Linked DNA regions of Rhinolophus ferrumequinum. The protein of the gene in region 2 purifies or fractionates together with the protein of the main gene of each other region. This does not show direct contact. Links are inferred from orthologs where the notes say so. Each region holds a gene or a part of one and is shown on either strand. Other genes may lie near its edges.

Region 1 (7,756 bases), on a different chromosome or scaffold from region 2:
GGGTGCGGGTAAGTGGAGAGCACCCTGAGCTGGAAGGTGCTACCCATGGTACCCACCATCCTGCTGCCATGCCACTACTTTTCTCTTGGCCTTGGGCTGTGACCCTTGACTCATGGGGGCCAGCAGGGGTGTAGGGGGCTGTGTCAGGTCTCCTGGTGCAGGGGACATAGGATGAGCAGGGACCATTAGGACAGGGCAACAATAGCAGCAGGGTTAGAAGGGGACATATCATGCAAGCAGCAGTGGACACAGCTGACACTGGAACCAGCTTGTTTGAGGCAAAGCCCCTGTTCCTGTACCCCTAACTCCCTATCTTGGTGTGGGGGCCAGCATCACTCCTGGGGAGTCTGCCTCGGGCATTTTCAGCGGAAGGGCTGGTGAGAAAACTCCACACAGCAAGAGGGATGCAAAGTGCCAGCGTGGACAACACACCTGCCCACCGGTGTGAAGGGAGCGAGGAGCTAAACACAGGAGAAAAGAGGCTCGGGGACCCCAGCCCGGAGTCAGCCCAGGAAGCTCAAGGCAGCACCTTCTCGCTGGTCCTGGGACCTGACTTGGGGCAACTGCAGCAGTCACAGGATGATCTGCCACCCTGCCCACTACTGCCCAATGGGTCATCTCTGTCCCTTCCTACAGGGTCCTCACCCCTGCTGGTCTTGCTCTGACCACTGATTGCAAGGTGGTGCCTGCTGCAGAACTTTGTGGTTTCCATGTGATCGTAATAGTGATTTCACACAGAACTTCTTCCTGAGTGTATATGGAAGAGAATGGACTCCATTCCTAATTCTGCTCTCCAGCCATAACCTGGTATCAATGCCCTGGGATAGTTCTTGAGTCCTCTTGCCTTTCTTTGCACACGTTCTATAGTCATAAAAATGGGTACCCTCTGTGTGTGGGCTCTTAGCTTCTCTCCTTGGTGTTACATCTTGACACCTTGGTGCAATGGCTCCATGTCCTCTGTTGGGCCCAGACAACACCTGGTCCTCCCTGCTGAGCTCAAAACTGATGGAAAAGCACACACCCAGGGAGGAGAGATGGAGCCCGGGGCTGGGCTGGTGGTCAGGAAGGTGGCTGGCCAGTGTGGCTGGGGCTTCTCCTCCAAAGGGAAGTCCATTCCTCTCCCCTCAGAACTGGAAGAGCCAAGGCTCTCTACCTGCCTGCTCATCCCCACCCCCTCACCTGGGGACTGGGCAAAGCGGGCAGGAAATGGAGTGCCTGGAGGGGGCTCATTCTGAGTCTCCCGTCTTCCTCTGGAAGCCTGAATCAATACGCTTCCTCCTGTCCTTTCGTCCCAGGAGGAGGATGGGGACCTTCACAGTGTCCCATCTCTGCAGCTAGTCCTCTGCTGCCAGTTTTCACCCTCCTGCATCGGTCCATGCCCCAAATGCCTCAACATACCTTCTTGGTGCATCTGGGTGATGACTTTGGAACCCTTTTTAGAAGCTGTCTTCCTCAGCCAAGTGCACGAACACCTGTAAGGCTTCAAAGCTCACTTTATTTCACAGTATTCCCTGTCTGTCTAAATCGCAGAAAATAATGTCATTTCTACTCCTAAGTGTTTCGTGTAGTTCCTGGAAAGCCTGAAAAAATGTCATCTTCAGTTAATCAAATCAAAGCCTCTAGTGGCAAACTTCTGCTCCCAGGGAAGGGGGGTTCATTTTAGCGGACCTCTGGAAGGCAAAGGGGGTGCTCCGCCATGGAGTTCAGCTGTTCAGAAGTGAGGCTCCTGCAGTTGTGTCTCCTCTCAGCTCTGGGTGGCTGATGCAGTCCCCCTGCCAGGTCATCACTGCTCCATTGCAGGTCCCAGGGCTGCCCTCCCTACCTCCCTCGTTCAGAGTTTTCCCAGAGCTTCCTCCCCTGATCTGCCCCCATGCCCACCCAGCTCAGACAATCTCCTGTCCGTGCCCACAGCCATAACCCACCATAGAGGGCTGTTGAATTTCCTCCAGGCTTTCTGACTCCCTTCCTGTTCCTGCAGGGCGGGGGCCCCGAGGAGCCGGAGGCCCGAGGACCCTGTTCTGGTACCAGGGCCTGGGGACACCTGCCACCATGGGCCAGGAGGAGGATAGACATGGACACAACCCCAGGAGCCTGGCCTGGCCGCAGCAACAGCTCTGCAGAACCAAGGCAAGCGTTGGGGGCCCCTTTCTGGGAGAGGGGTGGCAGCCTGAAGGCCAATGTCCAGGCCACCCAGGACTCCCAAACCCCACAGAGACTCTGCTGTGCCATGAAGGCCACCCACTCTGTCTCCTCTAAGCCTCTGAAGCTAAACAGGGGAGGGGAAGGGCTGCAGGGGCATCTCCTGTGCCCAGCACTCTGGGGCCTGGGGCCATCCGCCATCCTGGCTGGACTGAGATGAGTGTGACACCTGCCTCCAGGACCCTAGTGGGGCCAGTGTGGGTTCAGAAGTGCAATTTCTGTGGTGTGCTGTCTTCACCTACAGCCCCAACCCCTGCCTAGCCTGACCCTAGGTATGGTGACCCTAGGAGGTGGCCTGGGCCCTTGGCAGGCTGAGATGCTTCTAGTGGCCCTTATCTCTCACTGTTCCCCTTTCCTACAAAATCCTGGGCACTGGGTGCTATGCTGAGCCCTGGGAGAGGCTGGTACCACTGGTGGGCTCCTGGGTGGGACGTTGGCTGGTGGGTCAAAGAAAGCCCAAGCTGGGACTTCTAGCCCTGCCTGGGAGCCATGTAGGATGAGGGTGGGCAGCAAGGGTGAGCAGTGTACGGGAGATGTGACATTAGAGGTGACCTGGGGGGCTTCCAGGGGCAGCATGGTGGACACATGAAGTGGGCAACTGACCAGACACACCCAGAGGAGGGTGGCATGGTGGAGACACCAGCAGAGAAGGGCCCTGAAAGACTGTGGATACCAGAGAGCAGGCTGCTGGGGAAGGTGTGGATGGATGAGGTGTTGGGGAGCCCTGGGATAGGAGGCGGTGGAGCAGGTTTCTATGGGCCTCAGTGGTAGCTTCCTTGTCTGTAGAATGGGGGCATGGCTGTCCCTTAGGGGCTGCCAGAAGCATTTCTCCAGGTGCCAGGCCCAGCAATGCTGTGCAGAGGATAGAGTCCTGGGTGGTTGTGACTGGTGGCAGAAGCAATTCTTTAGGGACATTAATCAATTCCTGGTATTGACAATCCTTCCCTTGGGGAGGGGTTGGTGGTGGGCTTGCAACAGAGTTGGCCAGCTATGCTTGCAGGTCAGGCAAGGGCTGCCTCGTGACAGTGAGGGGGATAAAAGGTGGTAGGTGCAGGGATCGGGTCACCTAAAAGCTCTTGCTCTCAGGACGGTGTGGGCATGTGGGACTCACAGTCATTGGTGGGAAAGGGAGCCCTTGTCCAGACCCTGGATGGTGCCTGGGAGAAATGGAGGCAGGTGGGCCCAGCCTGGGTAGGGCCTCAGCCAGTCGCAGCCCACAGCTCTTTAGAGGTTGGGGCTCCTGCCATATTTGTTGGATGCCTCCTGCCTACTGTGTGCCCTGGCCCTGTCTGAGTCCAGACTGCCTGGGCACTCAGGGAGGGTGTAGCCCCAGACCACCTTTTCAGGGTCCTGGCCAGCTGGGGAGCAGTGGGCAGGGAGAAGGGGGAGACAGGCTAAATATCACCAGGGGCTCAGTTCCTGGTCAGCCTACCTCTGCCTTCCAAAGTGCCCAACTCCTGGACGTCTGCTTCTTTCAGTGTCCTGGGAAGTTGGTGGCCATCCTGCTGCGGGTCTTCCTGTCCAGGGCCAGCCAGCCCCTAGATCTGCAGTCCCTCTGGGCACCTTGCCCACCCGGGCGCGGGCCGGGCCTGTGGGTGCCGACCTCGGAAGCCCTAAGCTGGTGGACACCAGCGTGGGCAGCAGAAAAGGGCGGCAACAGGGCATGCACCCAGCGGTGTCCACCACATTGGGGGACGGTCGTCCACTTGGCGCACTGGTCCAAGCCTCCTTGGTGACTACAGTTCTTCAGGGACCCTCGCGGGGGCGTCTCCCCGACGCCACTACCCTGGACTCCACAGTCCAGAGGGACATGCGCAGTTTCCCAACGCCCCCTCCCGAGTCCCCTCAAGACAGCGTCCTTGCTCCACTCCCCGCTCACGGCCCCGTCATATTAGCATATATAACCCCGCCCACTCCCATTCCGGCTCCGCCTCACGTTCCAGGTCGGCCTGGACGCTTTTGGCCCCGCCTCAAAACTCAGGGCCCACCCCTACGCCCAGGCCCCGCCTCCACGTCCTAGGCTCCGCTCCCACGTTGGAGGCTCCACCCCCATGCTCTTAGCCCTTCCAGGCGCTTCGGGTCCCTCTTGCATTCTCGGCCCGGGTCCCACACTCTCGGCCCCGCCCCGCGCCCTCGGCCCCTCCCCCACGCTCTCGACCTCGACCATGTGCTCTAGCCCCGCCTCCACGTCCCAGGCCTCAAACCCACGTTCGAGGTCCTACCCGATGCTCTTCGCCTTATCGGTGCGCTCCGGCTCCGTCTTGCGCTCTCGGCCCGGCTCCCGCTCTCGGCCCGGCTCCCACCCTCGGCCCCGCCCTCACGATTTCGGCCTCTCCCCCACGTTCTCGGCCAACCCCAAGTCCCGGTCCCGCCCCACGCTGTCGGCCCTTCCCTCGCTCGGGGCTCCGCCCCACGTCCTGGCCCCGCCCCAAGCCCCGGCCCCGCCCCCGCACTTCCGGGCGGCGCCGGCGGGGGCGCTCCGGCCTGGGCTTCGGCGCTCTGGGCTCCGGCTCCCCGCTCGGGGAAGCGATCGCGGCCGCCGCCGCAGGACCGGCCGGAGTTGGGCCGGAGCCGCGTCCCCGCGGAGCAGGCCGGTGAGAGCGGGCGGCCGGCCTCGGCGGCGCCCTCGCGGCCTGCCTGCGCCCGCCTCCGGGCCGCCGCGCCGCCGCCGCGATGGGGGCCGCCCCGGGCCGCGCCCCCGCCCCGTCCTGCCCGTCGCCCCGCCGCTGAGCGCATGGGCCGTGCCGCGCCGCGCCGCTCCGGGAGTCGGGCCCGGGGCCCTGCCACCGCTGCCGCCGCGCGCGGGTGAGTAGTGCGGGCAGAGCGCGCATTCCTGAGGGGCGCGGGCCAGTCCGTCCGCCCATTGTAGGCCGCGTAGGCCGGACCGGGCGGGCTGGGCGCGGGACCCGGAAGAGGGGCTCGGCGGGTGCGGGCTGGGAGCGTGTGAAGGGAGGCTGTGCGGACCGAGGGCGGGTGAGGGGAGGCCGTGCGGGCCCCGAGTGTGTGAGGGGAGGCGTGCAGGAGTGCATGGAGGCTGTGCAGACCGCGGTGATAGGCGAGGAAGATGCGTGGGGACCGAGGCTGTGAGAGCAGGTGTGTCAGACGGGGGTGCTAGCAGGGGATGTGGAAGGCGAGGGCCAGTGACATTGGGATGAAGAGTGCCGGGTTTGGTTCAGAAAGGGCAGACTCTTGCTCTAGGTGAAGACCTAGGATTCTGAGAAGCGGTTGGGGGGGTCCTCCTCGAGGGGTCTGGGGTGTGCAGCTGGTTGGTGTGTTGGATGGCATGGTGCTGCGTGCGTGCGGTGGTTTGTGAGCCTTGGGCATGTTTCAGGGTGTGGGTGGGGTGCAAAGGAGCTGCTGGGGCCAGACATTGTGTGCAGGGGTTCTAGAGAGAGGCTGGGTAGTGGCGCGTCCTGTTCTGCTATTCCCAGCAAAAAGTAGGACTGAAGGAGCCTGAAACCCAAGGAAGGTGCCTGAGACTGGGCCCCGGCTGTCTGGCTTCTCTGAATGGCTGTCATCTTCCAGGGTGATGCTTTGTCCCCCAAACTATCTCTTGGGTATGGGTCTTCAATTCTACGTTCACACCACCTTTTGGAATTCAGCCCCCCACGAAACCAGAGCTGTATGACCAGGACAGTGAAACTTTTAGCATAGAGGACAGTGGAGAGAAAAATAATTCTCTGGGGATTTTTCTCAGCTCACCTCTCAGATAATTCATAAAAAGTTCTTACTGTGCAGCTCGGCCCCTCTTTTTTGCTCACACGTATGTTCTCTGCTTCTTTAGGGCGAATCTCAGGCAGACTGGGACCCACAGGCCCTGTTTTGGAGAACACACAGTCTAAACCTGACCTCTCAAGATAGTCAGCAGCGTCAGGGTTTCGCTTTTAAGAACTTCTGTTCGGGAACAAAGATGAGAAAGCATATAAAATACAGTAGTGTTTCCTGTTTGCTTTTCAGCAGGTGTTGGTGTTTCTTGGATTCCTAGTTTCAGAAAAGCTAAGTGGATTTTGGGGATTTACATGGGTCATTAAGAATTTAAGTCACGGGGGAATGGTTTATATGCAAAACTGTAGCCCTTAGCCCTTCAAGAGTTTAATTGCTGACGCTTCCACACTCCACATAAATCAAAAGTTATATTTGAGTCAAATAAATATATACACATCTATAGCATTGAGCTGGCTGCCGTGGTACCCAGGGGTTATGTCTTGGCAGTGACTAAAGGAGACTTTAAATGTGGTATCAGTTGTATGGATTCCTTTTATGGAACCCTTTTATTGATGGTGGTTACACGCTATTGGCCAGATTCAGTGCTTGTGGGCATTTGACTCTGACCTGAATTAATGTAACTGCTTTATGTGTGATTTGTGTGTGTGTGTACACTAAATGTTTGATGTACTTCTCTGTGGAAACCCGGAGCTTGCGGGAATCGGAGCACATTTCAATAACGTCAGTGATCTGGGAAGTTTGTTCATGTGCTTCCAGAGACACCAAAGGTCTTCTGTCAGTGGACAGCCAAAAACAGATATGATTTATAAGGAATGTTTTTTCTGAGCAATGAAAAATCATTTAAAATGATTAGAGGGACTGGTTCACACGTGAATTAAAATGTAAGTCTTAAGACAGCCGCAGTTTGGTCATAAAGGGCTAGATCTTGAATTGACTGCTCTTTGTATGGCACAGTAGTTCAGCATCTGTAGCAAGTGTCATTTTCCTTTATGTCAAGGAATTAAATATTTATTAGTGCCCGTTAGTCGCCAGACCTTGTGCCAGGTGCTGTGGGTCCTGCAGAAAATGTTTAAATCAGGCTGCCACAAATAATTGACAAAGACGTCATAAAGCACCTTAAGAGAAAGTGACAGTGATTCATAATGAGCCTGTCGTTCTAACACAGTGACTTGGTTCTTTCTCAAGGCTGATTAACTGCAGAGTATCTCTAAGGATCCGGCTCCGGGGGCCGGGTACAGGCCCTCTGGTATCCGGGACAAGAGGACATGAGACATTCACAAGCTGGGGTGGGGCTGAGACATCACAGGTACTCATTCCATGTTGATGGTGCTCCAAGAAAGTGACTTTGCAGTCGGAGTGGTCCATGAGCAGCAGGGCGCCACAGCCCACCATCCTTGACCTTAAGAAACAGGCTGTTCCTGCTGAGGCTGAGATTACAGCCTACCCAGTAGTTTTCATAAGAAGTCATTAGCCGCAGAAATGTCACTGGGTGCACGTAATTGTGACCCAGCCTCCATCTCTGGAAGCTTCTCACTTCTAGCCATCAGGAGCTGCTGGCAGGTGAAGTTGGACGCCGAGTGAGAATGCAGATGTGGCGGGGGATTCCTCATAGGCCAGGCCCCAGAGTGTGGCGTGGTGGCCAGGGAGAGCCCCCCTTTGTGTTAGTACTTTATTTTGCTTCCTCCGGCTTGTTCAGTGCTCCAGGCACTTTGGACCTGACATGCTTGTCTCCGGCCCACTTCTGGGCACACCACTTCCCTCGTGGCAGGCTGTGTTGCAGTCACCCCCTTGGCCAGGTTGGGAGGCATCGCCCAAGCTTGTGGGCTCCGTG
Region 2 (7,195 bases):
TCCTGTACCTCTCCCTGTCCACCTCCAGCCATCCTCAGCCCCAATCCAGCCTTCCCTGCCCCTCCAGGGGCCATGAGTGCCTGGGTTTCTCACCCCACAGGGTTGCAACAGGGGAGGGAGGGACATTTTATGATGAACCAAAAATTCTGTGTTGAGGGGTGGGGGGTAGAGGAGGGTGAGGGGTGCCACCCATAGGCCACAAATCTCTACAAGTGCCTGCTATCCCTCTCCTACTCCCCACCCCAGAACCGGTCCAACCCCTTTACCCCCAGCTGCTCCTAGGACCAGCCCGTAGGTAGGCAGGGGTGGGAAGGGGGTACCCTGAATCCAAACTGGAAGACCCTCTGCCTCTTGGCTGGGGCCCCTGGGGTGGGGTCTGTGGTTAAGCCTTATTCTGTACTGGGGACTGAGGGTGGGGGGCGGAGGGAAGTTGGGGGCTGCTGGAGAATGTATTCAAAACAATAAAACTTTGGACCTTTGGGTGGAATGATCTGTCTCATCAAGGGACCATAGCCTGTGTTGGATTCTGAAGGACTGGGGCCTGGACTGACTCCCCAGTGAATCTATGGCCAGAGGGCCTAACCCCATCTGAATGTGTGGTTTCAGGGAAGTGACCTCCTGAAGGGGGGGTGGGGGTGGGAGGTACATACCTCCAGGGCTCAATGATTTAGGTCTCAGGCATACTCCAGTCATCATCTGATTGCTTCCCTATCCCATGGGGCGACTTGTCCTTGGAAGCATTTAGACTCCACCTATTGCCTGAAATGACTTTTCCCTCTGGCTCTGAATTCCTCCCCATGTCCCCAGGCTCTGGAGAAGGCTTGGAGCTCCTTTTGCATTACCTCTAGTGTCCTCTCACACATCACTCTCCTTAGAGCACTTAGTCTGGGAGTCCTTTGGGGACAGGCCTGCAGTCTCTTGGAATGTACACCTTGCAAGGGACCTTGGTGATCTTCCTGTGGAACCATGGGAACATCCTCCACCAGCAAGTTGAGATGGGGACTAGCTTAATCAAAGTCGCTGTTGATTGACCTACTGTATACCAAGTACCTAGTTAGGAGCTGCAGTTATTTATCTCCAACATCCAGCAGGGCAAGTGACTCAGTTAATGTCCAAGGTCCTAAGCCCAACCAGGACTAAATGAAGTCTGTGTTCTTTCGACTCCTGAGTTTTCCTCCTAAAGCTAGGATGGTTGGATCTAGACCAGGGTCTCAAAATCATAGGATCTGAGAAGTGAGCTCATCAAGCTAGAAGCTCAGGTTGGGGAGCTCGAATCAGGGATCAACGAGTCAGGAGGAATCCAGGCTTGGAAGTGCTGTTCCAGACAGCTCAGCCACTACCGTGCAGGTGAGGTGCCTGAGGCCCAGAGGCGGGAAGGAGTTTCCCTGAGGCCACACAGCTGCTAAGAGAGTGGGAATTGAGGGCTCAGGGCCTGTTGGACTGGCTTCACTGTGAAACCCCACCCTGTGCGACTCGGGGAAGGAACTGGTAGCTCCTCCCCACTCGCTTCATCCTCATTTCATGCCAGCCAAGGATGGCTGGTCCCAGATTATGTTGGCAGTGAAGAGAGGATCCAGGGCTGGGGTATTAGCAGGAAACCGAGGCTCCCATGGCAGCCTGCGGGCAACTGCTCCCTCTCCTGGGTGATGTAAGTCACTCCCTGGGGTGGGGGCCACTGGGCTATTTCTGGAAGTTGGGATGAGGCATGTCTCCTGGCAACATAGATGCAGCTGAATTGGTGGTGGTGGTGTGATGGAGAAGGGGATGTCATCACGGGGGAGGGGGGAGGACGCTGACTAGTAGTCTCATCTTCTGATTTCAGTACCTTCGAAGCACCTCTAACCAGGTCTAACATGGATTCAAAAGTGCTCAGCTCTAGAACTGCTCAGGTCAGACCAGGTCCAGTCAGACTGGTTGCCCCCAATTCTGGCTGAGCGGGATGTTAGAGGTGGCATCGGGTCTTGAAACCTCCAGCAGCTCCTCTAACCTTTAACGATCCACCTAAATCTGTTCGCAGTTTCTGCAAGACCACACCCTTGCTCCTTACCGCATCCTCCAGGATCTCTGATTCCAAGCAGAAATCCCTTTATAGATCCACGACACTTCATCAATTAATTCACCCCATCAGAGGTCCTTTTATCTATAACACCCAGCACTCACACTGACCCCCAAAGCTCCTTCCTGATGCTTCTCAACCATCCCTTACCCCTTCAGGCACCTCAGAGATCCCCTCAGTCACCAGTAGTTTCTCAGTCTCCCAGAGACCGTTTAAAAACACCCCAAATCCCCTCTGACTTCTCCCCTGGTCCCCAGTAAGAGGCCTTCACTTCTCCAAGGTACCTCTGAGTACCTCCAGACACCCAAAAGCTCCTCAAAGACACAACCCGCCCTGGCACCCCTCAACAAATGTTCTCAAGCCCTATAAATATCCTGGTAAGACTCCCTCCGACTGTTGCCTTCATACTCCCACTGATCCCAATACCCTTGTGGCGGTTGCCTACGCGCGGCCCACTGCGCATGTCCCACGGGTCCAGGCCGTTAAGTAACCGCCACTATCCTGCCCTTCTCCGCTGCCCTTCTGGGCCTTCTTGGTCCAGTGTAGGGTTGACTTCTCAGGGCTTTGGGTCTTGACTCAGATTTTTGCTTTCCGACTCCGAGCTGCCGTCAGAGGGCAGCAGGTACCGTTTGGCTGGGAAACTACAACTCCCAGAAACACCCGCTCCGTGCTGTGTGTGACGCAACCGCATTCATTGAAGGAATAGAAGTGTGTCCGCGCTTTGCCTCTGGTTAATGTAGTCCGAAAGGCCTTTAACGCTACCGTCTGTCCCGGCCCCGGGAGTGGTGGTGGTGGTGTCTGTGCCCATTGGGAATTGTAGTCAGGACTGGACAAAGTGGACGAGACTTTCTTTAGACTTCTGAAGGGTCAGGACAGTTAGCACCAACACTGGATCGGATTAAAGTGAAGTCCAGAGACTCCATTTCCCATCATTCCATGAGGCAGGAGGGGCTGAGGTGATTTCATTCTTGTTCCAAGTATTTCCGGGACACACACGCAAACGCACACGAACTCTGTTTCCCAGCTCCCTTTGGTGCTACCGTCCTTCCGGGTATTAAATCGATAAATGGGGCGACATAAAGCGTGCACAAAACCTAAGGGTACTCTTAGCACCCAACTTCCTCTTTTGGATCCTCCAGGATCCTATAATTTAGGAAGTGGAAAGACGCAAAAAGCTAAGTGGGGGTTCAGGACAAATTGTATTTTTTAACGCTCGGCTCAGCCTCTGGGTGCAAATCACAAAACTAGAAAAAGCTAGATTGTATCCTAAGACTATTGTTCTGAGAAACTGCAGGTAACTGTTTCCTAAGTCGTTTGCACGGGGGTTTTCCTTCCTGTTTTGTGGAAACTTAGAACTTAGAAGGAGTGTTTGGACTCCACTTTCCAGCAGCTCCTAATCGACTTAGGCTCTTTCTTGGGACCTGGAGATGGGGAAGGAGGCGTTGAAACACTCTTCAGTCTCCATAGGAAACTGCCGACTTTCACCTTTCGCTCAGGCTTTCCCGAAGGTACCCACCAATTGGACTCCACTTCCCCGTCAGCGTAGGCAGTCTAGTCTCAAAGTGTCAGGATCCGGTCTGGACTATTCCCCAGCATGCTTCGGGCTCATAGTAGATCCCTCCCCCTCAGTCAATGGGAGACTGCCTGGAACTCCATTTCCCAGAAGACACAAGGGCTCGCTGTAGCAACTGCTCTGAAGCCGTGGTGCTGACTACATTTCCCGGCAGGAACTGCGGCCTAGCGTGCGAGGGAGGAGGAGCGCTATATCTACTCCATTTCCCAGTCTATCTCCGGAACTGCAGTATCCACTTGGGACTTAGGGAATCACATGGGACTCCATTTCCCGGCGTGCTTTGGGAGTCGCTTTACACCTGCAATGCGGTGAGGGCGTGGCGACGACTCCATTTCCCGGCTTGCCTCACTGTCCGAGATCTGCTGGTCCGAGATCTGCGGGTCCTCCTGCGCCGACTCAATTTCCCAAAGTACACCTGGTGCTGGTGGACATACACAGCTAATAGACTTAGTGACCGACTGGACTCCGTTTCCCGGCGTGCATGAGGCCGCTCACCGAGTGGCTGCGACTACATTTCTGAGGTACACTGAACGGTGAGAGGCTCACCGTTGCCGCATTGGAGGAAGTGTGCGACTCTGACTTGGCCTCCCAAAGTGCTTCTGGGTCCGCCGTGGGCACAGTGGATCGATTTATTGCCCAGGACCCTATTTCTCGACGGGCAGCGCGACCCATCATCTCCACGGTCTATTCTGAAGCCTTTGCGGACTCCACTTCCCGGCGTGCCACGCGGCTCTCTCTGGGCCGAGGGCGGTGACGGAGGCGCGGAGGGCAGGCGGACTGCATCTCCCGGTGTGCCCCGCGGCGGGCGCTGGGCCGGAGCCGGAGCCCGAGCGGCGCGGCCTGGAAGAGGCCGGAGGCCGGGGAAGGCGGCGGCAGCGGCGGCAGCTCGGGCAGCCCGAGCCCCGCGGCCTGGGCCTGCGCTCGGTGCCATGAGCGGCGGCGCGCCTTCAGGGGGTGGCCCTGGGGGCTCGGGCCGGGCGCGGACCAGCTCGTTCGCGGAGCCAGGAGGCGGCGGCGGCGGCGGCGGTGGCGGCCCCGGGGGCTCGGCCTCCGGCCCGGGCGGCAGCGGCGGCGGGAAGGCGTCAGTCGGAGCCATGGGTGGGGGCGTGGGGGCCTCAAGCTCCGGGGGTGGCCCCAGCGGCAGTGGCGGAGGAGGCAGCGGCGGTCCCAGCGCGGGCACCAGCTTCCCGCCGCCGGGAGTGAAGCTGGGCCGTGAGTACTAGGGGCGCCCGTGGTGGGTGGAGATGAGGGTTCCTGAAGCCCCTCAATCGTAGATCAGGTTCTTTTATGTGCCCAGATAGGAGCTCGAGGTCATTGTGCCTCCCAAAACTGGGATCTGAGCTCTACTCCTCCCAAAGAAGGATTTGGGGGGTTACCATCACTTGCAGTTTAAGATTAGAATTAGTTACCGTAGAAAAACCAGGGGTCACAGGTTCCTGTTATTCTAGTATCAAGGTCTTGGGTCCTTGAGGCTTCAAAACAGGGATCTGACGTTGCCATCCATTAGAGAACAGGATCAGGGGTCATCGTCACTTACGAATGAAGCTCAAGGGTTATTGTTCCCGAAGAGAACAAGAATAAAAACACCACCACCCGAAAAGGGGCTCTGAATTTGTTCCCCTTCAAAGGATGGGATTTGGAGTGAATATTGTTTAGAAGCAGGTATTTGGAGTTACTGTGTCCCCAAAGATCAGGGCTAGGGCTTTCCAAACCTGGTACCTAGGTCATCTTCCCTTTTAAAACACAAAGTTTGGTATCATTACCTGTTCATAATATGTAGAATTGTTCCCCCAATGGTAGAAATTAATGGTTGCTGCTTTTTAGAAATAAGGACAGAGTGGGAGTCAGTATCTCCATCAGATCAAGTCACGGTCCCTGTTCTTAAAACATGGCTTGGTGGGTCTCCTTTCACAAAAATGGAATGAGGGCAGGAGAGAGTCACAATTCCCCATAGAATATGGATCTGGTTATACCCCTTTCGTTATTCTGAGGTGTGTCATTGGCTCTGGAAAAAGACCTACGTAGAATCACCTCTGACAAAAGAAGGTGTCAACTGGTCCCTCAACATGGATTTGATTCATCAATGACCCCTTTTCTTTGGGGAACCTTTCCTCACTTTCCCAAAGAAAAGGGGTCCCTGTCCCCAAAGAATGCTACCAAAGTTTGCTGCCATTCAGAAACCAGAACTGGGAATTACAGCTTTTCTTTGAAGGATGGAAGCTGGGCTAGCCCCTTGGTTATAGAGATCAGGTTCACCAGTCTCACAATTTGGTGCTTGTCCATTAGGGTCCACCCTCATGCTGGAAGGGGTCTGGGGCTCTGGGCTGTACAGGTGAGGTCAGGTCAATGCCTTCTCTAATCCCAAAGTATTTGGATTAGGGCTAACTGTCCCCAAAAAGTGAGAATCAGGGCACTAGCACGCTCATGCCAGGAGGAGTCATTCATTCCTGTCACCAAAAACCACTGGTGAAGTTACCAGCTCCACCAGGGAGTGTGTAGAGGTCACTCTGCCCTGAGCTGTGAGGAAGGTTAGTGCTTTTCTAAAGTAGAAGTACCTCAGGATTACCACTTGAGTGGAAGAGGTTAGGTCAAGGCTTTCCCCAGTCAGGAGGGCCCAGAGGGCAGTAAACTTCAGAGTGGATTGGGAGTGTCGGTGTCTCCTTAGACCAAAAGGACCCAGTGGTTTGCTGCTTACTAGAAATGGAGATGAAAGGTCTGCAAGAGGTTTAGATGTCAGTATCCTGGGGGAGGGTACTGGGAGGAGAGGGGAAAGGAAAAAGGGACAGAGAGGCCCCAGAAAGCTACCTGTAGTGATTCCCCTCCCTCCCACAGCCCCAGGAGGGGATGGTGGCAAGAGGGGAAAGGTCAGTGGGTTTTGTGTCCCCTTTGTTCCCCAGGTGACAGCGGCAAAGTGACCACAGTGGTAGCCACTCTAGGCCAAGGCCCGGATCGCTCCCAGGAGGTGGCTTACACAGACATCAAAGTGATTGGCAATGGCTCATTTGGGGTCGTGTACCAGGCACGGCTGGCAGAGACGAGGGAACTGGTAGCCATCAAGAAGGTTCTTCAAGACAAGAGGTTTAAGGTAGCTTGGGGGGCGCGGCACGGGTGAGGACATGGAGGCTTGACTGGGCATGACTGGTGAGAGAGCCCCAGAAGCACTGGCCTTAGGGTTCTACAGAGGATCTTAGCATGGGCCCGAGGAGAAGGGAGAGAAGAGAGTGAGTTGTGTGGAAGATGGGAATATAGATTCCAGCAGAGCCCAGAGCTGACATTTATTGGGCTTTTCCTCTTTGTAAGGGCTTTGCAGGTGAGTTTTTGTTTAATTTACATAAAGGTTCGCTGAAGGTAGATACTATTGTTATTCCCATTTCAAGTAAGCAGAAGCTGGAAACTGAGACTCAGATAAGAGAATTGCCAAAGGTCAAGACTAGCATCTGATTCCCAAGTCCTCTACCTTTACGGAGTTAAGCTTCTGCTTAGAGGGGAAAGGAAGCTGGGGGAGCTGATTGAGTGTGTTAGCAAAGGCCTTGCTGTGCCGCAGATAAGTAGGGGGTGGGATCCAG
Region 3 (7,191 bases), on a different chromosome or scaffold from region 2:
ATTAATTTAGGAACCAGCCTGACAAAAGAACAGAACCTGAAAGATTACAAGAGCAGTGTACAGATTTCAAATTTTCACTCTGAAAGAAAGTTTGCTTTTCCAGCTGAATTTACAACAGTCAGCTGAGGGCTAGAAGGCAATATCGTAATCATGGTTCCTTTTATTGTATCATACATCAAGTCTGCAAAACCCTCTCAACATGAACAAGAAGCGGTCTGTATGTGCTGGTTAAGGGGCTCTTGAGCAAAATGATGGGGCTAGAATCTCAGTCCTGCTTCTTAGTTACTCTGCTGCAACTCCAGGCAAGATATTTTAATTTCCGTCACACATTCCTCCTCTCTAAGATGAAGCCAACAATGGCATCTACCTTAAACGGATACTGAGAGAACTAAACGAGTGAACATCTAGGAAGGGCTTCGTGTGGCGCTGGGCACATGGTAAGCTCAAGAAATATTATCCGTCAATTATTATACACTAAAAATATTTAAAAATATCTTTAAAGAAAAAAGAGCTGACCTCGAAACTCCAGCCGTTTGATTCTTTACATTATGTAGGATGGCTGTAGCTGCTGCCTTGTATAACTCCAAGAGCCACGCGATGTGGGAGCCCGAACATCATGTTCCTGTTACATCAGGTGCAAGTTTTTAAAAAAGGCCAATGACGTCCCATCGGCTTTTCTTCTATTTCACATGTTAACATGGATTATTCTGAAGAATGACCCATTCGGTATCCTTTTATAGAACTCATTAGAAGTTGACAATGGTCAGGGATTATCTCCATCTTCCTCAATTAATGCTAGTTGTTAACATTTTGTGATAGTACTTTGATAAAACACAAAAATAGCATTGTGATTTAGGCTGAGTTTGTACCCTATTTGAGCGAAAGGTATGATGACAACAGGTCCTACACCTTAACATTTATGCTGAGTTTCTCCTAGAAAGCATAATGTACAAGGCAACACACCTAACTTTAAAGAGAGTACGTCTGTTATAAAAGTTTCCAATTTTTATATTTTTCTTATATTTGAAATTTCAGGCATTCTATGAACAGCCTGAATGTACTTGTAATTTTACATTCCAAAACAAAACATATAAACCTGAAAGAAGTCAGTTGCACCCATTCCTCAAAAGTCCAGTTCAAACCTCCCAAACCTAGTCTAATTCTCTGCCAGATGAGATCCCATCTTTGTTTCTATTCTCGCTATGGCAAGTGTTATCATTATATTCACAGACATGGCTTCCTATCTTCAAAATAGTGGGGGTGCCAAAAACATGTATACATAGGACTTGTATTCATTTTTTGTTACCGGTATATATTGTCACAATTTTAATAGCTTTTTCCTTTCTTAAAACGTGTATACATGTTTTTGGCACCCTCTATATCCAGAATCCAACTGCTTCTTACCATCATCACTGCTACCACTCTAACTCAAGCCACTGTCATCTTTTGTCTAGATTATTGCAATGTCCTTCTAACCGGTTTTCTTTTCTCCTTTGGTTCTCCCATCCCACACAAGTCTATTTCAACACAGCGGTTAGCACGATCCTGTTAAAACAGGCCAGATTATGTCACCTCTCCTCAAACTCCTTCACCCAGAGTAAAAGCCCAAGTTGTTATCATTGCCTACAATGCCCTCTATGACCTGACCCCTCTACTATTCCCTGCACCCCTTTCTGATGGTCCTTGACCCCACCAAGCATGCTTTTGCCATAGAGCCTCACACTTGCTGTTCCTCCTGCTTGGAAAACAACTATTCCACGTATTCACGTGCCTTGCTCCCCAGCTTTCTCCAAGTCTCTGCTAAAATGTCACCTTATTAAATAAGGGAGACCTTCGCTTACTCCTTTATATAAAAGTGACAAATCTCTTTCCTCTCCAGTGCTTCATTTTTTTTTCCTACGGCCCATATCACCAGATGGCATATGATTTATGCGATTACTGTTAGTTTCCCTTGCCTTCAACAAAATGTAAACTTCGGGAGGGCAGGGCCTTAATTAGTTCACTGCTATATCCCCAGCACTTAGAATAGTCCCTGGCTCAGGCAGGCAATCAATAAATATTTACTGATTAAAGGAACAGACCTTTCACTCGAGAACATAAGCTCCTTGAAGGTTTTGCCTGATTCTTCTTTACCTGTTACGTAAACCTTACCAGTTGCAGAGACTTTCGTTTAATGGACCCTTAACAAATATTGCTGAATGAAGAGCAAGGAAATTGAAGTAACTGAGAATGCTTGGGACAGGGCTACAAATGAGGGGTACCAACAATCCAAGCACCTACATATGTACACTGGCGAGCACACTGGTTCCAACATGAAAAGGTGGTGTGGAAAGGGGAACCAAACCTTTCTCCACCTGACAGTAGTTTGGGGCTGTGTTAGTGTTTCTAAGGCATTCACGAGTTATCAACATATACACAAAATCTCCTTAAACAGGCCGTCTTACTTTACTATCCTTAATTGAACTATATGAATCAAGACTCTGCTTAGGTTCCTTCCCCACTCATACCGTTTAATTTTCATAACAAGCCCGGGAGGTTAGCTATTAATACGCTCACACTTGGCAAAGGTTTAGAGAGAGCAGTGGCCGGATCAAGGTGGCTGGGCTAATAAGTGGCCGTATCAGGACTGTAACCCAGGACATCTGGCTTCCAGGCCAGCAAACACCTTTCGTGGTTGACTAAGTTAAGAGCCAGCCAGCCTCGCCTCTGCAGGAGTTGCCTCCCCAAAGGCAGAGAAATACGATGGCGCAGATTCCCAGAAAAGCACAAGCACTTCGCCCAGGTTTCTGAGGGGACGGGAGGCGTTAGCATTAATTACAGGAGGCAGTTCTGCCCACAAATGCCTCGAAAACTCAAGTTTCCTGGTCGCCGGCGCAGCACAGCAGGAGGAAGAAAGCGCTCGGGAAGCAGCCAGCCGCCCAACAGTAACGAAGATGAAGCTTTGGAAACAATACCTGAATGAGGCGGGTGACGAACAACTTGCTGACAATAGGCACCGGTCAACACTCGGGGGCGGCGGGAGGCGAGAGAGCGGCCGCAGCCCTCCCCGTGGAGCCGGCGGCGCTCCCAGCGCCGGGTTCCGGGGTCTGGGTCTGGGGTGACCGGGGCGGCCCAGGCCGGACCCGCCCCTGCACCCAACTCAGCCCCACACCGGGCCCCTTCTGCTGCCGCTCCTCCTGGCCCGGCCCGCTGCGCCGGGTCCCGCCCGGAGGACCCCTCGCCCGCCCTCCCTGACGCCCTCCGGCCGCCGCCAGCCCTCCCGCTCGCCCGCCCACAGCCGGCCCCGCGGACGCTCACCTGCGCGCTCCCGGCTTCCTCCTGCTCTTCCCTCCCAGGGCGTCGCAAACCGACCTGCGGCGCCGCCTCCTCTCTTCCCCGCCCTCGCCCCGCCCCCTCGGAGCCGGAACCGCTCGCTTCCGGGCCCTTCTCCCGCCTCCTGCAGCCCCAGTGTGGCGTCACTTCCGCCAGCGCAGGCCGCGCGCGGGGAGTCCGGGGCTCGCGAACGCGCCGGAGCGTCCCCAGAGTCGGGAGCGCGCCTGCGGATGACAACAAATTCGTCTCGCGGCGGCGGTGGAGGTGTCTGCCTCAGCCCCTGCCTCAGGCCCGGTCGCCTCGCCGCGCGCTCTCCTGCACCCTCTCTCCGTGCGGACGAGGACCCCTCCGGAAGACCCCGGGCCTGGGGCGCCCGCGACTCCTCCGCCCCGTGTCCCCGCCAGGCCTAGAGCGAGCGGCGCGGCGCAGGAGATGGGGTCGTCCTGAGGGACGCCTGGTGCCGGGAAGGGATGGAGGGGCCACCCCGGGCTTAGGCCCCTCCGCGGCCTGGGGACGCCGGCCAGTGCCCTTGCCGCCGCCGCAGCGGCCTGGAACCGGGGCCTGGGCCGGGAGGCCGGAGCCGCCGCCGCCCGCAGCCCTCGCCGGCCCTCAACATGCCTTGGCCGTTTTCAGAGTCCATCAAGAAGAGGGCCTGTCGGTACCTCCTGCAGAGGTACCTGGGCCATTTCCTGCAGGAGAAGCTGAGCCTGGAGCAGCTCAGCCTGGACCTGTATCAGGGCACCGGGTCCCTCGCCCAGGTCCCCTTGGACAAATGGGTAAGAGCTGCCGGCGGCCCCCCGGGCGGGACTCGCTGCCCTCCTTAGGGCGATTTGAACGAGTGTCACCCCAAATGTGTGACGTTCAGCCCCTCTCTGGGAGTGGCAGGGCTCAGAGAAGTGTGTTCCAGTCTTGTTTAATCTGTTCCTAGCAAGTTTGCGCCCCCAAATCACGTGTTCCAGAAACTTAGCAGAGGTAGTGGAGTCTACGCTGGCAATCAGTGCACGGAGGCAGCGCCTGGGGTCGGTGAGGGGGCCTGTGGAGCGCGGGGACCAAGGGCTGCCCCCTCGGGTAGGAGGGGTCGCGGGGCTCCGTGGCCAACACCCGGTTTCGTGGGAGGACACTCCGCGAGGTGAAGGATGAGGCGGACCCCTGGCAGTGTCGGAACGCCTGCTGGTTCCTGGGTGTGTTTTGGGTTGGCTGCTTGCGCACCGCGGTCTGCCTCCCGCATTCGCCATCTGGAAGAAACAGGTGAAGGCCGCCTCTGCCCATGTGCCTTCTTTGGCCCCTCGCGGTGTGACAAGGCCAGCCTGTGAATGGTTGCGTGGCCCTGGCCGTGCTGTTTAGTTACGCTGTGTGTTTCACGTGACGGATCGTAAACGCAGGTGTTGTAAAAGCACCGAAGCTGCAATTGGCAGACATTTAAACTCCTGTTTTCCACTTGTCATCCAGGGGCTGTGGGTTGACTCATCGTGTCTTACAGGTGCTTCGTGTATATTTCAATGCACCACATACAGTTGTACCGGCATTTGTGTGTTCAGTGCATACAGTATTTTACTGAAAGTGTGTTAAGCCTTGAGTTTGACAAGAATGGAGTGGCTTTTCTCCTCCCCCAACCCTTCGTTTATTGCACTCGAGTTTGCTGTTTACAGTTTGAATATGTTGTCCCATTCTGGAGTTTTACTATTCTAAAAACACTCCAACACACTTTCCACTTAGGAAATCATAGATATAGGTAAGTTTCTTAGGAGAGTTGTGTAAACAAAGGGAAACTTGTTTTCCTCCTCATTTAAGCTTTGTAAAAAGTGTGTGTTTTTTACCTTTTATGTAAAAGTATTTTAACAGAGTAATGACTTCCTGAGTCATAGAACCTTGAAATGCTCAGGTTATGGTAACACCTTATTATGACCCTTAAATTAATTGGCTCTAGCATGAATAAACATACAATTTTATCAGTAAATCGATGATTTACGCTGGGGAGAGCACATAGTAAAGTAGAAAGAGCCCTGGTCTGAGTAGCAGAAAGACCCAATGCCACACCTGGCTAACCCAGGCTACCACAGTTAGCCAATTGATATTGGATATAGTAACACATCTAAGCTCAGTAAACATTAATGGAGTGTCCACTCCATGCCAGGCAGTGTGTCAGGGTCCTGTATTGCTGTAACTCTTGCCAGAAGATAGGGTTTGTGATAGATATTTTTAAATTCATTGACCCATGAGTCTATACTTTTGGTACAGCTTTTTTTTTTCACTTGGGGAATATTGGCGAACAGTGTGTTTTTCCAGGGCCCATCAGGTCCAAGTCGTTGTCCTTCAATCTGGTTGTGGAGGGCGCAGCTCAGCTCCAAGTCCAGTCCCTGTTTTCAGTCTTAGTTGCAGGGGGCGCAGCCCACCATCCCATGGGGGAATTGAACCTGCAACCTTGTTGTTAAGAGCTTGTACTCTAACCACCTGAGCCAGATGGGCTGGCCCCTTGTGGTACAGTTTTGAATAGACTATCTTGAAGGAGGAGGATTGGGCCGTGTATTAACTGCCTTTTGTGGGTCGATTGACTTTGTACAGATTATCCTTTATGACTTTTCATATTAACTCTATGAGGTGGGTGATATGATTTCCATTTTACAGAGGGAGTTAAATAATTTCTCCAAAGCGACATGGCCAGCAAACAGTACAGTGACAATTCAAACCTGTCTAATTACTAAGCCGACTATTATTATTATTTTTTAATTAATCGTGTCTTCAAGGAAAGGACCGTGGATGCTTACTGAGCATCTATTTATTTAAGGCACTGTGCTAGGCACTCTCATTTGTGTGGTTTTGCTTAATCCTCATGGAAATCAGTTGGTAATATTCGAATTTTACAGTTTGACCAGGATTGATGGCAGAATAATTTAGGGCTCGATTTAATCTGAAGATTGTTTTGTTCTGCTCCTTGAAGGCCGGGGCTATTCCCAGCCAAAATGATAATGTCAAATAAAGCATCCAGTAAATATTTGCTGTTGCTGTTTATTTATTTATTGACTATAGTGTGCTGTGTTGGCGACTAAGATAAATCTTGATGTGACACTTAGCTATTCAAACTTCTGGTTCAAATTCAGTTACTTTTGACACTTGATTTTAATGACTTTCATTCCTGAAACAAAGATACCTCACAGATTCTTGGATCCAAGTGGAAGAATTACATCATTGGCAACATCACTAATGTTTCAGTTCTCAGCCATCAATTATGCACGGGATTATGTTGAAATTGGCTGTGACATTGCCGTCTTCCTTGATCTTAATCAGTTGTGCTTGCTAATTAATTAATTGGAAGGTGTTGCATTTTTTATATATAAAAAATTAACTTTAAAATCCATTTTTAAAAACTGTTCAGCAGACTTAGATTCATTGGGATAATTTTCCATGTTTTCGAATCTTTTATAACTGTGTAGATAATGACTTAAAAAAAGAGACAGTGTTTTTAATAGACATTATTTCAGCAACAGAATCATGTAACAATGGAAACATTTCCAAATACAATTTTTCACAACTGTTCCCCCCATAGTACAAGTATCCTTTGAAAAGCAGTTAGTTACTTTCTCACTCATTATTAAAGTGACATCTTTACTTTGAAAAGATAAAGTATGTTTAGCTTTTTGGAATACATCTGGTTGGTAGCATGTACTACCAATATCCATCTGTCATCACATGAATGGTCGGCATATTTAGCACTCTAATCTTGGTGTGGAAGAAAATTGCTTTTCATATTTAAATTCAACTCTTAAATATTTGGCCATAAGAAAACCCAGGAAATCAGAAAGTTACTGTTACTTTCTGTCTCTTTGCAAAGACTCAACTGCTTTAAGGTCTGTTTTTATTATGCAGAAGTAAGTTTCAGTG
Region 4 (8,080 bases), on a different chromosome or scaffold from region 2:
CGGAAACTCACAGTTGAGCAACTTGTCCAAGGTCCCCATTTAATAAGTGGACTTGAACCTGGATACCCTGTCTCCAGCCTGGCTCCTTCCTTGAGGGAACAGACTGTATGTAGTAACTCAGAACTGGGGGTATAGAGATGGGCTGTTATGTCACTGCTTAGGGAGAGAATGGCAGCAAAGGTGCCAAGGGCAGAGAGAGGAGTCCTTTAATACCCTCCCAGCCAGCTTTTCCACCACAGACTTGCATCCTGAGCAACCCCTAACCACGAGCCGCTCAGCCTTACAGCCACCTTGTGGAAAAAGTCCACTTAATGACCACAATAGAAAGAAAAAAAAAGTGATTAGCCTCCCAGTCTGCAGTGACTGGTTGATCTGATGTTCTTTGCTAAAACATTCAGAGCCATCTTCATAAAACATCTCCATCACTGACGAGTAATTCAAAAGCTCTATCTAAGGTTTTGGTGAATGGGATTGATCCAAATCCTGACCTCACTTTCATTTCATTTCATGCCAGCACCAATACACACCCAGCCGTGCAGACCCTGTCTAACCAGTGAGCCGCTCAGACACAAAGGCGCTCTAATTACCATCTGCAAGCTAGGTCGACAAGGATTTCAAGCGTTTTCATGTTTATAGAGATCAGAGAAATATGTTCTGTGCATGTTTCCCTCCGACAGCAAGTATAAAATAAAACCAAACAAGAAACACAACACATTTATTTTAAAAAAACATATTTCAGTTAAGTTAAAATCCTATAATCAGGATAGCCACAATTCCAGACACTCCGGTGCGAAGTGTAGATATGTCAATAGCCACATCTGGATGATGAATAAGCCATTGAATCTTATAAAACTAAAACACCAACTAAACGGTCTTAAATCCCTCAGAGTGAGTGAACAGTATGTTACAAGCACTTGGCGGTTCACAATGGCACAGCCTGCAGCTTCTGCATTTGGAGGGCCACATTTTCTACTCGGTTTCTTTCACTTACAAAGGCAAGCTGGTATGGCTGGGGGAGGGGCAGAGGGAGGAAATCAACTCCATCTATCCAGGGAATTGCAGCTGTTATTGCAAATGGCCCCGGAGAGCCCATTATAAGCTGCTATGCGAGGCTGTTTCTTCCTGGAGTGCCCGTCACGTGGCTTCTCCCCAGCCCGGGCCCCCAGGAGCACCAGCACTACGCTTTTGAGTAGGACAGCAGGGCCGAGGGGGAGAGGAAGGACCGGAGGCCACGTCTCCAGAGCTTCTGTGAAAGCCAGGGGCGCGGCCGCCCTCAGGAGGCACCGGCGCCCAGCACGTCCCTGCCTCCCTGCACCCACGGTGGCGGCGGTGCGCATGTCCTCAGGAGACTCCAGAACTTGCAAAAAACACTGCGCTCTTTTCCGAGTACAGGCAGAACCCGGCTACTTTTCTGTCTTGCTGGAGCCCCACAACCCCATGTGCGCCCAGGAAACAGTGACCTTGAACTCGCGAAGAGGCGGGCCAGCTGTAAAAATACTTTCGAGAGGACCAAGGGTTCCCTCCGCGCCTCACCCTATCCTTTCCCCAGCACCACCCGACCCGGCCTCCCATCCCCACCCGGGGCGCACTGCTTCTGCTTTCCCCTACCACTCGGAGAACCGCAGCCAGTTGCAAAGCGGGGGCAGAGAAAGGTTACTTCTATTTAACTCCCAAAACGTCCCTTCACGGTACCAGGTGTTTTAAGAACCAGCACCCTAAAAGACACGAGATGGTTTTTTTGTGTGTGTTAAGTTTTCTAGTCTGGCAGATTGAGGTACTACGAAACGATCGTCTATTCATGTTCACCTCCCCCAAAAGTGGATCAAGGACCAGCCTTGAAAAAGCAAAGCAAGTAACGGATCATCCTCGTCGCGCGTGCACTCTGCGATCCTGAGAAGCGTGGACTGTGGCACTATGGTTGCCGGGCCGTGGAACTGCAAGCTGTGCCTCCAACATGGTCATACATAATAAGGTGTCCTATTGATTGTGAGCTTGGGATACGCTTTCTTCAATAGGGCCAAATCCTGTTTTTCAACATCAGAGCCCTTGACCTCAGTTTCCCACGAAAACACTCGCGATTTTTCGATTCATCGTCTTCATTACTTTCCCGCTTCCAAAAGCGCGAGTTCACCAGTCTGAGTAGAGATGTACCTCTCAGGGGAACCCCTTGCCCTCCAGAGGCTGGCGCTGTGGCCACTCCCGGGATATTAGCTGCCGGGGACAAGAACGCTGTCGCCAGTTCGGAGCTGCGCCCTCCTCCCTGTCGCGCCAGAGTTGCTGCAGGCCGCGCGAGGGCTGCGGGGCGACGGTGGCTTGTGCACCGGGGCTGTCAAAGGCCTCAGGAGCGGGTTTTGGGGAAGCTTTGCATGTAACTGCAGCCGTCGCGAATGAAGCCTTCGAACCGCCTCTTTGATGAGATTCCCGGAGAGCACGAGCTGTTGCAAGAGCCGGTGTGGGTCGTCGTCGCCGGTGCGGACTTCCGGCTGGGGCCCGCGTCGCTGCTGCAGGCGGCGGGAGGCAGCGGCGCCCCGCAGCCATCCTCGCCGGCACGGACCCGACAGCGGCTGGGGGGCGCTCCTCTTGTTGGCTCCCGAATGCCCATCTAAGTTGGGCTGAGGAGGCAGTGGGGACAGGGCGCTAGGGCCTGCGGCGAGCTCCGCCACAAAGTAGGGCGCAGACCGGCCCCGCACGCGGCCGCGGTCCCCGAGGACGCAGCGCAGGGCCCCCAGGGGCGCCGGGCCCACCGCCCCGGCTGGCGCGGTCGGCAGAAGCAGCGGCAGCCCGGGAAGCCCGACCTTGTCTGTCCGCACCGCCGCCGGAGGCTGCGGGGGCTGCACCGGCGGCCCGGGGGGCGCGCACGGGGAGGCCGGACTGTCCTGCGTCGCGTCCAGCTGCAGCGTCTCGCCGATCTGGGCCACCAGCCGGTCCACCTCGCCCGAGCCGCCCAGCGTCACCGACTGCTCCAGTAGGAGAAAGCTGCCCTCTTCCTCCCCCTCCGCATCCTCGCCGGCTTCCTCTTCCTCTTCCCTCCGGCAAGGCATGGCACCCCACCCGAGCACCCGGAGCTCTCCAGACGTCGCTGGCGGCTCTGTGGATCGCGGCGGAGCCTGGCGCGGCGATGAAGCCGAAAACCGGGCCGGGGCCGGGGCCCGGGCTGGGGCCGGGGGCGGGGCGGACGCGGAAGCCAGAGACCCGCAGGCACTCGTGCGGTGCGCTGCAGCCGCGGGAGCCGGAATCCTACCGGCTCTGGTTGATTTGTAAACAATGGGTGACGTTGCCGCTGGGCCCTACCACCGCGAGGGTGTGGGGGTGCGCAGTGCGGTTGAGGGGGACGGGGGTTCCCCTGGGCGGGGGTCCAGGCTGAAGCCTTGCTCCCTAGAGCTCCACAAACCTGAATACTGTCTGCGTGGACTCACTGGGTAGCTGATCTTCGCCTTCTCAGGCGGGAGTGTTTGGCATTTACAGAAGATGAGCACCGGCGTGGACTCTGTTGGTTTCTTCCACACACAAGCACAGACACTTTCACTCACACGCCCACACACTCCCCTCCTCTGAGCGCGTCAATTCGTCTGGTTTTGGCTTTTGCGCTTTTGAGATCCCAGGTTCTAGAGTCTGGTAAGTGATGACCCGGCGAGTGAGAGGAGGGTGGAGAGGTGACGGAGTCAGGCTAGGGATTTGTCTGGAGATTGGGGAAATGGGGACCCTGTGCTTCGATGGAGGTGGCAGACTTGGAATTGGCAAAGAAAAGCCACAGATTAATGTTTCTTGATTAGGAGCAATGGGTATGTGGGGTCTTGGATTGGGGCTGGCGTTACTGGCGAGGAGGAGGTTGCTAGTCTTGGGAAGAGCTCTGAGCTAGAAAGTTCTTTTAAGAAGAGTGCCTCAGCCAAGTAGAGGAGAATCCTGTCTGAGAGGGTTGCAGGAGAGGAAAATGGTGAGCTGTTTGGATGGAAATGGAGAGATGATCCAGCTTAACCCTTTAAGATATCATGATTGGCTTAATGATTAACCAAGACTTCATTTCTTAAAAGGAGGGACAGAAAAATCAATCATTTACTGTTATGTTGTTTGGAGGTTTTAGATGTTTATTCAGAATCCCAAACCCCTCAGGCCTAACTTCCAAACTCACCTGTAGGTAGACTTAGTGGACCAGCCTTTACAAGCCATTCAGGGGAGAGATTAGCAGGGTGATAGAAGTTTTGAAAATATTCAAAACTGGATTATAGTAATGGTTGGACCCCTCAATTTTACTAAAAATCATTGAATGTTCACCAAAACTGAGTGAATTTTATATTTAAATTATATTTCAATAAAGTTGTTTTAAAAATTAGCCACAAAGTATGCACACACAAACACAGAAGCCAGGTACTAGGAAACTGCTTTAAAATACTGAGCAGGAGAGTAGCATAATTTAGAAGAGAGTGCAAGAGGAAGAGACTGGAGCCTGGGGATCCAGAGAAGTAGAAAAAAGGGTCTTAGTGGGCAGGTCCAAAGATGATAATTACAGGAGCAAAACTGTAGGGAGGGATGAGATGGAGAGAACAGGTGGGAAGTTGTTAAAAAAAAAAAAGAGTTGGGCTTATTTTTGTCATGTATGGGGAGAAGAATATGAGAATGAAGGAAGAGGCAGTTTGAAGAAAGCCATTGAATTTTTGGAAATCTTGGAAATTAAATCTTGGAAATCCAGACTTCTACAGAGTGCCATAAAATTTATCACCTCATTTTAGTGGATTCCTTACGATTTTCTATATGTAAGTTCATGTCATCTGCAAATAGAGGTGGTTTTACTTCTTACTTTCTAATCTGGATGCCTTTTATTTTTCTTGCCTAGTTGCTCAAGCTAGAATCTCTAGAAAAGTGTTGAATACAAGCGGTGAGGGCAGACATTCATGTCCTATTCCTCACCTTAGAGAAAAGCTTTCAGTCTTTCATCATTAAGTATATTATGGGGTTTTCATAGATGGGCTTTACTAGCTTGAGGACATTACCTTCTATTCTTGGATTGGGGCTGGTGTTACTGGCGAGGAGGAGGTTGCTAGTCTTGGGAAGAGCTCTGAGCTAGAAAGTTCTTTTAAGAAGAGTGCCTCAGCCAAGTAGAGGAGTGTCCTCTCTGAGAGGGTTTCAGGAGAGGAAAATGGTGAGCTGTTTGGATGGAAATGGAGAGATGATCCAGCTAAACCCTTTAAGATATCATGATTGGCTTAATGATTAACCAAGACTTCATTTCTTAAAAGAAGAAATGTTGTGTTTTGTTTTTTCTGTCATGTTTTTGTTTTTGTTTTGTTTTTTTCAATCATGAAAGGGTCATCCCCTTATTGTAAATCAGTGTTCATTTGAGAGTGTGGTCAAGTAGCCATTTATTAGGTAGAATATTCTGAGCCTAGTTATTTAAAAATTTAATACGAAAACAATTGGTAGCAGTTTACAATTTGTATTTTTAATCTCTGGTTCAAAATCTGTAAGTTTCATATATCGTGTGGGTATGAAAAATGGTACAACCACTTTGGGAAAAGACCTGGCAGTTTCTTACAAAACTAAATGTACACTTATCCTATGATACAGTTCCAATCCTAGATATTTACCTAAGAAATAAAAACATATATCTGCATCAAGGCCTACAGGCAGACAATCATAGAAGCTTTATTCATAAAAGCTATAAACTGGAAACAGCTCAAGTGTTTATCAACAGGTGAATGGATAAACTATGGCACATTCATAAGATGATAACAGAATATGCTTTAGCAACAAAAAGGACGGAAGTATTGCTATATGCAATAATATGCAAAACAGTACTCTAAGTGAAGGAAGCCAGAGACAAAAGATCACATACCATATGATTCTGTTTATATGATGTTCCAGAACAGGAAAAATTAATTTATGGTAGGGAAAATAAATCAGAAGATTGATTGCCTTTGGAGAGGGTGGGGTGGGGCAAGGACTGAGTCAGAAGAGGCCTGAGGGAACTTTAAGAGTGGTGGTAATGTTCTATATCTTGATAGCTTCACTTGGGTTGCACAGGTGTATGCATGTGCTAAAACTCATTGAATTATAACTTAGAATTTATGTATGCAAATTTTACATGAAAAGAAGAAAAAACTATAAACAAATATTGAATCCTGGTTAATAGACATGCTGATGAGTCTAGGGGTGAGGTGTACTGATGTTTGAAATTTATTCCCAAGCATACAAATATGTGAGATGAGTTAATACATGAATAGACAGGTATGATAAAGCGTGTATAGTAAAATGTTAATGTTACTGTATGACCTAGCGATTCCATTCCTAGGTATATATCTGAGAGAATTGAAAACATACGTTAACACAAAAATTTGTACATTGGGGCCGGCCTGGTGGCTCAGGCGAGGCGGTTAGAGCTCCGTGCTCCTAACTCTGAAGGCTGCCGGTTCGATTCCCACATGGGCCAGTGGGCTCTCAACCACAAGGTTGCTGGTTCAATTCCTCGAGTCCCGCAAGGGATGGTGGGCTCTGCCGCCTGCAACTAAAGATTGAACATGGCACCTAGAGCTGAGCTGCCACTGAGCTCTCAGATGGCTCAGTTGGTTGGAGCACGTCCTCTCAACCACAAGGTTGCCAGTTCGACTCCCGCAAGGGATGGTGGGCTGCGCCTCCTGCAACTAGCAACGGCATCTGGCCCTGGAGCTGAGTCCTTCACAACTAAGACTGAAAGGACAACAACTTGAAGCTGAATGGCACCCTGCACAACTAAGATTGAAAGGACAACTTGACTTGGAAAAAAAAGAAAAGTCCTGGAAGTACACACTGTTCCCCAATAAAGTCCTGTTCTCCTTCCCCAATAAAAAAAAAATCTGAAAAAAAAAATTTGTACATAAAGATTCATAGCAACATTATTCACAATAGCCAACATGTAGAACAACTCAAATATTCACTAGCTAATGAGTGGTTGAATAAAATGTGGTATATTCATACAATGGAATATTATTCACTATAAAAAAGAAATGAAATACTGGTACATGCTATAGCATGGATGTACCTTGAAGACATTATGCTAAGTGAAAGGAACCAAACACAAAAGGCCACATATTGTATAATTCCACATATATAAAATTTCCAGAGTAGAAACAGAAAATAAATTAGTAGTTGCTAGGGGATAGGAGGAGAGGGGAATTAGGACTAACTTAATGAGTTTCTTTTGGGGTGATGAAAATGTTCTAGAATTAGATAGTGGTGATATTTACACAACAGAGTGAATATACTAAAAACCACTGAAGTGTACATTTCAAAAGTGTGCACTTTAAAATTCACTTTAAAGTGAATTTAATGTTATGTGAAGGATATCTCAATTTTTAAATCTAAAATATGTTAATGATAGCATCTAGGTGCTGGGTAATAGTTCACTGTCAAATTCTTTCATTTTTGTTGACTGTTTGAAATTCAGAATAAAATTTTAGAAAAAAAATAAGCCACAGGAAAGGAGTGATTCATTTTGTGACTTCATTTAGAACTGCCCAGGGCATGGAGGGCTTAGGGCTGACTATTGTGAAGGAAGGGAGGAAATGTACATACCCCTGCTGGCAGGTTGGCCGGGGAATTGTGTGGACTCATACTCCAGTGTTGGAAAACTGGAGACAATCTGCTGTGGGCTGACTGAAGTCTTGCCCACTGGAGAATTTCAAACTGTACGGCTGGAATGAAGCTTGCCACTTTTATTTATTTATTTATTTTTTACACTTTTATTTATTTATTTATTTTTTAACAGGACTTTTATTGGGGAACAGTATGTACTTCCAGGACTTTTTTCCAAGTCAAGTTGTCCTTTCAATCTTAGTTGTGGAGGGCGCAGCTCAGCTCCAGGTCCAGTTGCCGTTGCTAGTTGCAGGGGACGCAGCCTACCATCCCCTGCGGGAGTCGAACCGGCAACCTTGTGGTTGAGAGGACACGCTCCAACCGCCTGAGCCACCGGGCCGGCCCGACACTTTTATTTTTTATTTTTTTAAATAAATTTTATTGGGGGAATATTGGGGAACAGTGTGCTTCTCCAGGGCCCATCAGCACCAGGTCGTTGTCCTTTAATCTAGTTGTGGAGGGCACAGCTCACTGG

Evidence for each region.
Region 1: the proteins of GSK3A (region 2) and AXIN1 purify together in Homo sapiens (affinity purification with mass spectrometry; 12 studies listed by BioGRID and IntAct, with this or other methods). This does not show direct contact. The link is inferred for Rhinolophus ferrumequinum from reciprocal best matches to the Homo sapiens genes GSK3A and AXIN1.
Region 3: the proteins of GSK3A (region 2) and GSKIP purify together in Homo sapiens (affinity purification with mass spectrometry; 7 studies listed by BioGRID and IntAct, with this or other methods). This does not show direct contact. The link is inferred for Rhinolophus ferrumequinum from reciprocal best matches to the Homo sapiens genes GSK3A and GSKIP.
Region 4: the proteins of GSK3A (region 2) and FRAT1 purify together in Homo sapiens (affinity purification with mass spectrometry; 4 studies listed by BioGRID and IntAct, with this or other methods). This does not show direct contact. The link is inferred for Rhinolophus ferrumequinum from reciprocal best matches to the Homo sapiens genes GSK3A and FRAT1.

The regions. Positions count from the first base shown.
Region 1 is NW_022680357.1:2,360,991-2,368,746, reverse strand, and holds the start of AXIN1 (axin-1), read left to right. Parts: upstream 1-4,700; 5' UTR 4,701-5,004; intron 5,005-7,756. UniProt on the Homo sapiens protein: Component of the beta-catenin destruction complex required for regulating CTNNB1 levels through phosphorylation and ubiquitination, and modulating Wnt-signaling.
Region 2 is NC_046298.1:40,146,604-40,153,798, reverse strand, and holds the start of GSK3A (glycogen synthase kinase-3 alpha), read left to right. Parts: upstream 1-3,961; 5' UTR 3,962-4,558; coding exon 4,559-4,841; intron 4,842-6,526; coding exon 6,527-6,714; intron 6,715-7,195. UniProt on the Homo sapiens protein: Constitutively active protein kinase that acts as a negative regulator in the hormonal control of glucose homeostasis, Wnt signaling and regulation of transcription factors and microtubules, by phosphorylating and inactivating glycogen synthase (GYS1 or GYS2), CTNNB1/beta-catenin, APC and AXIN1.
Region 3 is NC_046289.1:7,261,749-7,268,939, forward strand, and holds the start of GSKIP (GSK3B-interacting protein), read right to left. Parts: upstream 3,369-7,191; 5' UTR 3,298-3,368; intron 3,255-3,297; exon of another isoform or gene 2,955-3,254; intron 1-2,954. Other genes in the region: ATG2B (autophagy-related protein 2 homolog B), read left to right, coding at 3,927-4,088. UniProt on the Homo sapiens protein: A-kinase anchoring protein for GSK3B and PKA that regulates or facilitates their kinase activity towards their targets.
Region 4 is NC_046299.1:26,429,559-26,437,638, forward strand, and holds the start of FRAT1 (proto-oncogene FRAT1), read right to left. Parts: upstream 3,261-8,080; 5' UTR 3,042-3,260; coding exon 2,208-3,041; 3' UTR 1-2,207. UniProt on the Homo sapiens protein: Positively regulates the Wnt signaling pathway by stabilizing beta-catenin through the association with GSK-3. May play a role in tumor progression and collaborate with PIM1 and MYC in lymphomagenesis.